Linked DNA regions of Oryctolagus cuniculus. The protein of the gene in region 3 purifies or fractionates together with the protein of the main gene of each other region. This does not show direct contact. Links are inferred from orthologs where the notes say so. Each region holds a gene or a part of one and is shown on either strand. Other genes may lie near its edges. The genes, in order: WDR20, USP1 and PHLPP2.

Region 1 (3,744 bases), on a different chromosome or scaffold from region 3:
CCTGGGAAAGCAGTGGAAGATGGCCCAAGTGCTTAGACCGCTGCACTCAAGTAGGAAACCGGGAAGAAGCTCCAGACTCCCAGCTTCAGCCTGGCCCAGCCCTGGCCACTGCAGCCATGTGGGGAATGAACCAGCAGATGGAGGACCTCTCTCTCTTTCTCTCTCCCTCTCTTTGTGCTCTCTTTGTCAGTAACTCTTTCAAATAAATAAATAAATTTTTTTTCAAAAAAGTTACTCCCACCTCCCACATAAAAGTAAGAATTTACAAAAAAAAAAAAAAAAAACAGGTAAAGTGCTCAAACTATGCATATGAGGGCAACTTATGTATTTCAGATTTGTCTGGGGTTTTGTATTAGAAGTTACTAAAAATAACTTGTTTAAAATAATTCCTTTGAAGCTTTGAAAAGCTCTCTTAGTTTCACCCTTCAGTGAAGAGTGTCCCAATTTAAAAAAGGAGCACTAATATAACGATAATTTCAGGTGTGAAGACCTGTTATTATGGTGCCATCCAGGGATACCAGATCCAGATAAGGTTTGCCATTAAAATCCTTCATCAATACTAATCTTTCAAAGAAATTTCTTTTCAAATAATGTCTGCACTAGCACTGCTAGTGTCAATGAACTTGGTTTTAAGCACATCGCCCTTTCATATAAATACAGCTGTTAATAACCTAAAATCCTTAATTTATCTCCAGAGAAAGCACTGATCCTTGCAGTCCTAGCATGGATGTCAAGATGGCAGCTTCCTGTTGGACATCACTCTTCACGCCTGTTTAACTATAGCTTACATCTGCTAGTGTTTCAGGGCTCTCGAGCTCATTGCAGTGAGCTTATTATTAATTATAACACACACACACTGCAATAGTTCCTTTTTAAAGAGGGGCAGTAGAAACTAAGTAACTTACCAAGGTCACCCGACAAGCTAAGTTGGTGACAATGTTGAGAACAGGAGGAAAACTTGGGCTACCACACCTCAGACTTCCGGCCGAAAGCGGAGGGGGACCGCATACCCCACCGTCAAACCCAGCAGTGCACTAGCAAAGGCTCGCCCCAAGGGAAGGGACAACCTGCTCCATTTAGACAGGGCTGTCAGCTTCCCAGCCCCGGTAAGCAGGAAGAAACACGACCCTGGGTCCGGGTCTGTGAAATCACAGGGCCCGTCCGCTCGTGCCTGTGGCAGGCGCCGTTTCCACACTCACTGCACGTGTACAAACGGTGCTTTACCACGGTCTCCTCGCCCCGCCAGGAGCCAAGTCGAAGGCCACCTCTCAGGGAGGACAGTTACTCACACAGAGAAAGAAAAGCCCTCGCAAATCGCTGCTCTTAAAGAGATCGCTGTAAAGGAAGATCACAGACTCCAGAGTCCCTGCTGAGCCGCCCCAGGAGACGGGTCCTTCACAGCAGCTTTCAGGCACCTCCCTGCCCGTGCGGGACACAGTCCGACTTGTTGGACCAGGCTAATCCGGGCAGGCTCACACAGAGCCCCGCTGCACCAGCTCCGGCCACCGAGAACACCGATTCCAGCCCGCAACCGCGGCGCTCGGCCCAGCCCACCCCACGAGGGGCAGGACGACCCCTCCCCAGCAATCGGCCGGGAGGCCGCCCGGGGCGGGGCGGTGACAGCCGAGCTCCGCGGACGTTTTTGGAAACGGCGGTCGGGAAGTGTCAGTGCGGCCGCAGGTGGAGCAGCCCTGCGTGCCCAGAAGGTCCTTTCCGACCCGCTCCAGGCTGACAGACCCCTCCCCGAGCCCCGGCGGGACTCCCACCCCTCCGGGGAAGCCAGGCGGGCGGGCCGGCCACCTCGCCCCGCAGGCCCGCTCCTGGCCGTGTCAGCGCCCGGCGGACCCCGCCGGAGCCGAGGCGGCCGGCTCCCAGGCCTCCCAGCCGGAACCCCGCACGCCCGGCGCCGGCCCCCGGCCCCCACGCCCTCGGAGCGCCGACGCCACCACCCTGCCCACTCCCGAGCCCCCTTTCCTCGGGAGTCCCTCAGCGGAGTTGCCGGCCCACTCCAAAGTAAGAGCGACGGCCACCCCTGCCGGTCACCCCGGCCCCGCTGTCACCGCCCTGCCCCCGGCCTCCGCCCACGCCGCCGGCGGGCCCCGGTGACGCCCGGGTCGGTACCTTGCGGACCCCCTTGTAGATATAGAAGTAGAGCTCCCGGCCCACATTGAAGCAGAGGCGGTCGCCGTTGCCAGACTGGTCGTTGAGGTTTACGAAGGAGACGCGCACAGGGTTGGATCCCTGCGAGTTGAAGGGCACCCGGTTGGGCCGGCTGTACTCCGAGTGCGGCAGCAGCTTGTACAGACCTTCCCGGGTGGTGAATTGGGTCTTAATCTCGTTCATCTCCTTCCCTCCTCCCTCCGTCGCCATCTTGGAAAGCAGCGTTCATCCTGCCCTAAGTGCCCGGATCACGCCCACCGCGCAGGCGCCGTCCCCGGCGTTCGCTCTCCTCCCCCCGCCTCTCCCCTCTGGCCCCGCCCACCCGCGGGCCAGCCCCACGGAGGCGGGCCGAGGGGACGGGGCGGGCTTGTTTACGGCCCGACTGCGCACGCGCGCTGCCCCGGCGGCTCCACGCGGCGGGGCGTGCGCCGGCTCCTCCCCCGGGCGTCGTCTCGCGGCGCCGCGGCTGCGTCCTGGGGTCGCGGGCTCGGGGTGCCGAGGCGCTGGCGGGGCTGCGGGTGCCGCGGGAGCGCCGGTAAGGGAGAGCCGCGGCGGGAGTGAGTGAGGGCGGCCTCCTCGGCTGCTTCCGGCCCTGCGGCGCTGAGGGGAGGGCGCCGCGCCCCGAGGGGTCGGCTCGTGAGGAAGCCGCGGGCGGCGGGGGTGGCGCTCTCGCCGCGGGCTGGGGGCTGTCCCGCCCCGCGGGCCCGGAGGACCCTCGCGACCGGCCCGTGCCGCGGCCCGGAGCCCCTGCGGCGGAGTCGTGCGGGGGAGGACGGTGTGTGTGGACTGGCCGTCTGAGGCGTGAGGCGCGCGGGGCAGCGCGGGGAGCCGGATCATTCCTGTTGCTTCGTAGCTGCTTAGGCGCCCTCAACGAGATGAGCGGAATTGAGTTTAGAAATGCCCCACGCGGACCCGCGAAGTCCAGGTGTGCGAGGGTCGCGGTGACCGCGGACAGCCGCTGGCGTGCGCTAACGCGCTTCTAGGGTGACGTTCTGATGGCATTCCGGGGCAGAGCCAGTGCTTGCCGCACCGAGAATGACCAGTTCCTGCGTGCTGACGTCGTCGGGGGGTCACCAAGGAAGGGGGTTCCCCCTGGGGGGGAGTCAGAGCCGCCAGCCGGGGTTCACCCTGGGGAGGGGGGAGTCAGAGCCGCCAGCCGGGGTTCACCCTGGGGAGGGGGTAGTGTCAGAGCCGCCAGCCGGGGTTCACCCTGGGGAGGGGGGAGTCAGAGCCGCCAGCCGGGGTTCACCCTGGGGAGGGGGGAGTCAGAGCCGCCAGCCGGGGGTTCACCCTGGGGAGGGGGGAGTCAGAGCCGCCAGCCGGGGTTCACCCTGGGGAGGGGGGAGTCAGAGCCGCCAGCCGGGGGTTCATCCCTGGGGAGGGTGTCAGAGCCGCCAGCCGGGGTTCACCCTGGGGAGGGGGGAGAGGAGTGTCAGAGCCGCCAGCCGGGGTTCACCCCTGGGGAGGGGGGAGTCAGAGCCGCCAGCCGGGGTTCACCCTGGGGAGGGGGAGTCAGAGCCGCCAGCCGGGGTTCACCCTGGGGAGGGGGGAGGGTGTCAGAGCCGCCAGCCGGGGGTTCACCCT
Region 2 (3,744 bases), on a different chromosome or scaffold from region 3:
CGACAGTAAACATTCTCGAACAAATGACAGCACGAACACTCAGCCCTATCAGTTTCAAGTTCTTTCCTTTCTAAGATGACAGGACTCAATTCCTATTTTTCCAGAAGAAACGTAAAACAATCCCGAACATCTCCGCTGAAGTTTTAAGACACGTGGCGTTCTAAATACTGAGGAAACTATACATGAAAGAAAACGCGCGGTAAAATTTCGCAATTGCCGTCCGAAGGCAACGTCAGGGCAATCAGTACTGCTTCTCCCTATCGGGCTCCACGGGAGAGGAAACCGAGAAGGCGGCCGTGCCCTTCACACACCCCGGGGGCACGGTGGGGGCGGCTGGCGGCGCCGTGGCCCGCACCGCGCTCCGGCCCCGCGCCCGTGGAGCCGGCCTGTGTACGCCCAGCCCGCACCTGCCTCCCCGACTGCAAGAGCCGCCGCGGAGCCCCGGCCGGCAGCGCGGCGAGGGTGCAGGACCGAAACGAAACGGTCCGGGGTCTTGCCCGCAGCCCCACTACGCTGCCCGCGGAACTTGCCTCCACGCAGAGCACCAACCCCTTCTCAGGCCCTCCTCACCTGGCCATGGCCCAAACGCGGTCCGCGGCGCTGACGCCGGCGAGTCCAGCCGGGAAGAGTGTGGGTGCGGCAGGTGAGTCCCTGGCCCGAGCCCGCAGGGCCCCCGACCCAAGGAAAAGCTTGGCCGGTCGCCCTCCCCGCGGGGGAGTGACCATCCACTCACAAGGGCGGGAACCCGGGCCGCCGCTCGGTCCTGCCTGATGCCTGCGCCCACTACATGCCCGGAGCGGCGCCTGCCCGCGCCCGCCCCGGGTGCCAAAGAGCGCACCAAGCCGCGGTCCCGCTCGCCGAGCGCCTGAACCGCTAGGGTCTCCCCACTCCACCGCCGAGGGGAACTTGGCGCGTTTTCCTCAGTCTCAGGACCCCCGTGTGTTAGCCTCCGCCCGCGCCAGCACTGCGATTGAAGGTGGCGTCCTTCGAAAATGCCGGTCCTCGCCTCCACGCTGCACAGACGCGAAACACCAGGGCCGCCCCGCGACCGCCCCTGGCCCCCGGCGCGCACGGGCTCCGGAACCAGCTGGAACGGTAGCTCCCCCAAGATCCTAACGGGTTCCGCACTTTCAAACACCGCAGGCACAGTCTCGGGCAGCTCGCGCGGGTCCTCGCTGAGGGCGCGCACTGGAGGCCTGGCTGGCGGGCTCGAGCCTCACACCCTTTTTTTTTTTTTTTTTTAACCATTCGTGCGCGCGAGTTACGAGTACGGGTCGGGAGACGGGACAGAGGCAAGATGGGCCGGGCCCCCTTCCTCAAGGAGGAGCCCTTAGGTGCTCAAATCCGCCAATCCGCGACGAAGCATCCCCAAAACCTCACCCCCTTCACTGCCCAGGCAGAGCCAATCAGAAGTACCCAGACAAAAGCTAGCAAATGGGCGGGAGAAAGAAATCCAGCCAATACCAACAAAGAAGACAGAAAGGCTCGGGCCAATCCTTATGAGACTTACACCGAGTTCCTCAGGCGCGGCTCCCCGCCTCTCGCTCTCATTGGCGCTCGCGTGCGCGCTTTCGCGGCCGACTGTTAAGAGTCTAGCTGTGCGTAGTGTTGGCCCGAGGGACGCCGGCGAGGGCGCGGCTTCCGGAGCTAGGCCCTCCCCGCGAGCCCCGCCCTCCTTTCTTGCGTGAACGCTCGGGCGGGGTTACCAGGGAGACCGGCTACGGGAAATGGAGGCCGCGCCGCGTCCTGCTCCGTGCGTGGGCTTTCTGTCACGGGCAGCAGCCCCGGCCCCAGGGCCGTCTAGAGAAAACCAGCGCCGTCACGGAGGACGGCGGAGCCTCAGCAGAGTGCTTTAGGGCGAGGCTCCTTCCTCAGACGCCGATCGCCTCACGGTGTCCTCTCGAGCCCGACCCGCCGTGGGCCACACAGCGGTTCCGACCCGAGCCGCCGCTCGGAGGCTCAAAAGCAGCGAAGCAGGCGGCTCGGGTGCCCTTTTGTGTTTGTGTGCTTACCTGTGCGGCGCGACCTCGGCGCAAGTGCTGAAGTTAAGCAGGAGAGATTTAGTCCAAATCCGAATGTTTCGGTTCTGCTGTGTGCCCGGCATTTTTCAAAACGCTTAGGACTGTGGCCTGAATGAAATACGTTCCTTGCGCTAAAGGAGTTGTACATTCGAGAGGAGACAGACGTTAAACTAAAAATGGGCACACACGATGGAAGCGACAGCAGGGGCATGCCGTTTTAGGTGGCATATTCGGGAAAGCGCCCTGCAGTTGACGGCTGAGCAGAGCGAGCCCGGGAGGGACCCAAGGGGAAGAATGGTCCCGGCGGCAAGAACAGCAGATACAAAGTCCTGGACGCGTTTGGTGTTTTGCAGAGAGGTGAGGTAGCCAGGCTCCTGAGAGCGTGTGAGCCTGGGTGAGAAGACTACACGCAGGAGATGAGCGAAACCGGCTGGGCCCCCACGCAGCAGGCCGGGGTGGAAGGCGCTGGGTGGTGCTCAGCCGGCAGGGGCAGGATTTGTGAAACAGTCCCCCCCCCCCCCCCCCCCCGCCGCGGTGGACAGACCTTTGACCTTCAAGAATGCAAGCAGGAAGCTCCACTAGGGGGCTGATTTCGGTGGCCAAGGAGTAAACTGGTGACTTGTGATAAATGGAAGTGCTCAGAACGTGAGATTCAAGAGATTATACATACATATACGCACATGGATATACATATATCCATACATATAGACACATAGCCATATACATGACAGAGAAAGAGAAAGTCACTGCCCAGATCTTAACAGCAGCTGAGACTGGGTCAGGCCAAAGCTGGAAGCTCCGAACGCACCCAGATCTCTCGCTTGGCTGGAAGGGACTCAACTGCTGGAGCCATCACCTGCTGCCTCCCCAGGTGCCGCCGCAGCGGGAAACGGGAACAGGAGGCCAATGGAGAGGCAAAGACAGGCACTCTGAGATGGGGGGCAGACATCCCAGTTGGTGTCTTAACCATTAGGCCAAACGCCTCCACTATATTTGAAGTACAGCCAACCAGCTTCGTTGAGTGACCGGAAGCATGGTATGGTAAGAAAAAAGAGATCAAAGATGACAGTCCCCACCCCCCCCAAGCAACCAGATAATGTTTGGTTTTCTGTTATACTTTCCCTTACCAAGTTAATGAAAAAGATTTCCTCAGAAGATGGAAAAAAGAAATAAGTATGAGGGTACTTCAAAAAGTTCGTGGAAAATTGAAATTAAAAGATAAGTCCATTTTGTGCAGAAAAAGAAATCCATACATAATTTTTCATTATACACATTTTCCTTGACCTTTTGAAGACTTCTCATATGCATAGATTTAAGAAACTGTTTGCCCCATAGTAAACTTATCTTTTTTTAAAAAATCCATATTTGAAGGCAGAGAGAGAGCTTCCATCTGCTGGTTCACTCCCCAGGTGGTGGCAACAGCTGCAGCTAGTCCAGGCCGGAGCCAGGAGCCAGGAGCGCCACCTCAGTCTCCCACATGGGTGGCAGGGGCCGGAGCGCTTGGGCCATCTGCTGCTGCTTTACCAGGTATGTTATCAGGGAGCTGGATCCAGAGCAGAGCAGCCAGAGTGCAAAGCAGGCGCTCATGAGATGCCGGCGTTGCAGGCGGCTACTAAACCAGCTGCACCACAGTGCTTGCCCCTAAACTTTTCTTTTAATTCCGTTTTTATGTGACACAAACTTTTTGATGTGCCTACCTACATCTTTTGATTCCTTGAAGAAA
Region 3 (3,644 bases):
TAGGTACGTAAAAATCTGAAATTTAATCCATACCTGCTCTTCTTTAGGACTGTGTAGATCTTGTTCTCTCCAGTAGTCAGTCTTTTTTTTTCCCCTTCAAAAATAATTTATTTGTTTCTGGTCACAAAACACAGGAAGTGGCCGGTGCCGCAGCTCAATAGGCTAATCCTCCGCCTTGTGGCGCTGACACACTGGGTTGTAATCCTGGTCAGGGTGCCGGATTCTGTCCCGGCTGCCCCTCTTCCAGGCCAGCTCTCTGCTGTGGCCAGGGAGTGCAGTGGAGGATGGCCCAAGTCCTTGGGCCCTGCACCCGCATGGGAGACCAGGAGAAGCACCTGGCTCCTGGCTTCGGATCAGCGTAGTGCGCTTGCCACAGCGCACCAGCCGCAGCGGCCATTGGAGGGTGAACCAACGGCAAAGGAAGACCTTTCTCTCTGTCTCTCTCTCTCACTGTCTACTCTGCCTGTCCAAAACAAAACAAAACAAAACACAGGAAGTTGCGAGGGCAGTGGGTGTTCCCAGTGGCTGCCCTCTTCCTGGTCTGTACACCTTGTACACAGCGCCCCAAGCTGTTTCTCCCATTCTAACAGCTGCAGAGTATGGGGAGCAGGCAGGATGCTGAGCCACAGACCCCTACCCCCCACTTACAATGTGGGGACACCCCTCGGGTGAGCGCTCCAGCTCACCCCTGCGTATCTGCCACAGACCAGCCCTGTCTACACAGCCCCTAGGGGCTGCACCTTGCAGCAGTGAAGTAGTCAGTCTATTTGTGTTAAAACTACTACATGGCTACCACACAAACATATGTCTGGTATTTTTACATATTAGGCATAAATATATTAGTTGGTACAGATTGCATTACAACATCTGTAAGATGTACGAGTTCTTTGTACCTGTATCAAAATGTGTAAAATAAGTAGATATGACTGAAGCATAGAAATCTTTGTTTTGCTGAGATCTTGATTGAAAAGAATGGCATTAATTTTGACAGTGTTTGGCCCCTATTTCTTCTTGCTGCACCTTTTCTTTTTTTTTTCCTCCTGGTTAGGGGGTGGGGGCACTTGGCTGCTCTACTTCCAATCCAGCTTCCTGATAATAGAGCCTGAGGAGGCAGTGGATGATGGTTCAAGAATTTGGGCCCCTTTCACCCATGTGGGAGACCTGGATGGAGTCTCTGGCTCCTAGCTTTGACCTTGCCCAGTCCTGGCTGTTGTGGGTATTTGGAGAGTGAATCACAGGATGGAAGATTTCTCTGTGTCTCCTCCCCTCTCTGTTGTTCTGCCTTTCAAATAAGCTGCTGCTTGGTATGCTAGCATCCTAGATTGGGGTACCAGCTTGAGTCACAGCTGTCTGCTTCTGATCCATCTCCCTGCGAACTTGCCTGATGGAGTTCTGAGCACCTGGCTTCAGCCTGGCCTAGCTCTGACCATTGGAGGAGTGAACCAGCAGATGGAAGAGCCTTCTCTCTTTCTCCATTTCTGTCTCTCTCTTTCTCTCCCCACCACCCGTGTTACTCTGCCTGTGAAATAAATAAATACTTAAGAATTAATCCTTAGGGTTGGCATTTTGGTACAGTGGATAGAGCTGCTGCATCCCAGTGGGTGCCAGTTCGTGTCCTGGCTACTCTACTTCCAATCCAACTCCTTGCTGATGGCCTGGGAAAGGCAGCAGAGGATGGCCCAAGTGTTTGGACCTCTGCACCCATGGCTCAGCCCTAACTGTTGCTGCCCCTTGGAGAGTAGAACAGCAGATGAAAGACTTTTATTCCATCCTTCCTTTCTTTGTTTCTTTCTCCTTTTTTTCTGTATTTTTCTTTCTAAGATAGAATTACAGAGAGGCAGAGAGAAAGAGAGGTTTCCTATCCACTGGTTCACTCCCCAAATGTCTGAAACGGCCAGAGCTGTGCTGATCCAAAGCCAGGAGCCAGGAGCTTCTTCCAGGTCTCCCATGTGGCTGCAAGGGCCCAAGGACTTGGGCCATCTTCCACTGCTTTCCCAGGCTGTAGCAGAGAGCTGGATCAGAAGTGGAGCAGCCAGGGCTCAAACTGGCACCCATATGGGATGCCAGCACTGCAGGTGGCAACTTTACCCACTATGCCACAGCACCAGCCCTGAAAGACCCTCTTTGTCTCTCCCTCTGCAGCTCTCTCAGGTAAATAAAGAATTTTTGAAAAGAATTAATCTTAACACATGATATCTTTGGGAGAGTTTTCATCAAAGACAGTCTAATATATGGCTTAATCTTCTCTTCTTTCACCTCAACAGCCATATCACAACACTAAAAATTGATCAGAAACCTTTGCCAACCACAGATTCTACCATTACATCAACCTTCTGGAGCCACGGACTGGCTGAGATGGCAGGACAGAGAAATAAGTGAGTGTGTTGACTGTGAAGACTGAGTTCAAGAACTGGCAGCCCCTGGTGTCTCAGATGTCTCTGGTGCTCCTAGTGAGGCCCTGATGTTCTGTTGCACATAAGCATATCAGCATGTCAGCTCACATAAGATCCTTCTGAGACTATGCTAAAGTGAGACAAATGTGCGTGTGCAGTCCACAGAATACCAAACACCTCCTCTCATGGCTAACATGGGTGTTTGCTTCTTAGGTTATCAATTACAGCTTTATCCTTGTGTTAAATTTCCTTCCCTGTCAACAAAGTTGAAATACCCAACTGTGGAGTCGTCCTGCTTTCTCTTAGCACCCAACCTAGTGTGATCCTCCACTTCCTAGAGCCCTGCCCAGTGACCCAACCAAAGCCCAAATCTTATACTCGTTTCTGTCCAACATCCTCTTACCAGTACGCCCCATGGTTTCATGGACTAGCATTCACCCTTGCTGCAAGGTCTAATAAACCCGGCTTGTCTAGTTACAGATGTGCTTTGGGGTTCTTGGGCTGAAGGGTTTTGACAAAATCCAGTTCTTAATCACTACCATGAGAAAATACATTATCTTCCAGCCTTGGGCAGCACTGCAAAACTATGTACTGCCCATGAGTGTGGCAAGACACGCCTTTCCTTAGGACATCACTGTTTTAGATTCTGCTGGATTATTTTCTCTAGGGACTTTCTCACATGTAAATTGAGAGTTACTGCTGTTCTGCTCCAACTTCAGTTGGAGAATAATCTGTTACCAAACACTTTCTTTGATGATTGTCTTTCTTCTGTTTCTGCTCTAGGCTGTGTGTATCTGCTCTAGCTATGGATAACTTGGCAGAGGGTGTGGGAGCCGCGTATGGCATGTTTGACGGCGACCGGAACGAGGAGCTCCCTCGCCTGCTGCAGTGCACGATGGCAGACGTGCTGTTGGAAGAGGTACAGCAGTCAGCACATGACACCGTTTTCATGGCGAGCACCTTCTTGGTGTCTCACAGGTAAGCAGATGGGTTGAATAATCCCTAACTCAGTTCTGCTTTTGGAAAGTCAGTCTCTGTAAGCCAGAAGATTAGGATCTGGATCCAGGACAGATCCCACTCCTTCTGTGATCCTGCTGTGGCTTGGAAGTGGGGACTTTGGCTCTTTAAAGAGCCACAGGAGTCATCTGCATTGTTTATATGTATGTGTGTGGAGGAAGGGAGGAAGGGGGTAAGGTTTCATCAGATTCTCCAGAGAGTCTGTGACCTCTAAGTACTTAACAAGCACTGATT

Evidence for each region.
Region 1: the proteins of PHLPP2 (region 3) and WDR20 purify together in Homo sapiens (affinity purification with mass spectrometry; 4 studies listed by BioGRID and IntAct, with this or other methods). This does not show direct contact. The link is inferred for Oryctolagus cuniculus from reciprocal best matches to the Homo sapiens genes PHLPP2 and WDR20.
Region 2: the proteins of PHLPP2 (region 3) and USP1 purify together in Homo sapiens (affinity purification with mass spectrometry; 3 studies listed by BioGRID and IntAct, with this or other methods). This does not show direct contact. The link is inferred for Oryctolagus cuniculus from reciprocal best matches to the Homo sapiens genes PHLPP2 and USP1.

The regions. Positions count from the first base shown.
Region 1 is NC_091451.1:45,406,972-45,410,715, reverse strand, and holds the start of WDR20 (WD repeat-containing protein 20), read right to left. Parts: upstream 2,528-3,744; 5' UTR 2,371-2,527; coding exon 2,122-2,370; intron 1,440-2,121; exon of another isoform or gene 1,290-1,439; intron 1-1,289. UniProt on the Homo sapiens protein: Regulator of deubiquitinating complexes. Activates deubiquitinating activity of complexes containing USP12. Anchors at the base of the ubiquitin-contacting loop of USP12 and remotely modulates the catalytic center of the enzyme.
Region 2 is NC_091438.1:110,376,381-110,380,124, forward strand, and holds the start of USP1 (ubiquitin carboxyl-terminal hydrolase 1), read right to left. Parts: upstream 2,514-3,744; 5' UTR 2,013-2,513; intron 1,651-2,012; exon of another isoform or gene 1,511-1,650; intron 711-1,510; exon of another isoform or gene 571-710; intron 1-570. UniProt on the Homo sapiens protein: Negative regulator of DNA damage repair which specifically deubiquitinates monoubiquitinated FANCD2. Also involved in PCNA-mediated translesion synthesis (TLS) by deubiquitinating monoubiquitinated PCNA.
Region 3 is NC_091449.1:55,608,489-55,612,132, forward strand, and holds part of PHLPP2 (PH domain leucine-rich repeat-containing protein phosphatase 2), read left to right. Parts: coding exon 1-3; intron 4-2,264; coding exon 2,265-2,375; intron 2,376-3,176; coding exon 3,177-3,371; intron 3,372-3,644. UniProt on the Homo sapiens protein: Protein phosphatase involved in regulation of Akt and PKC signaling.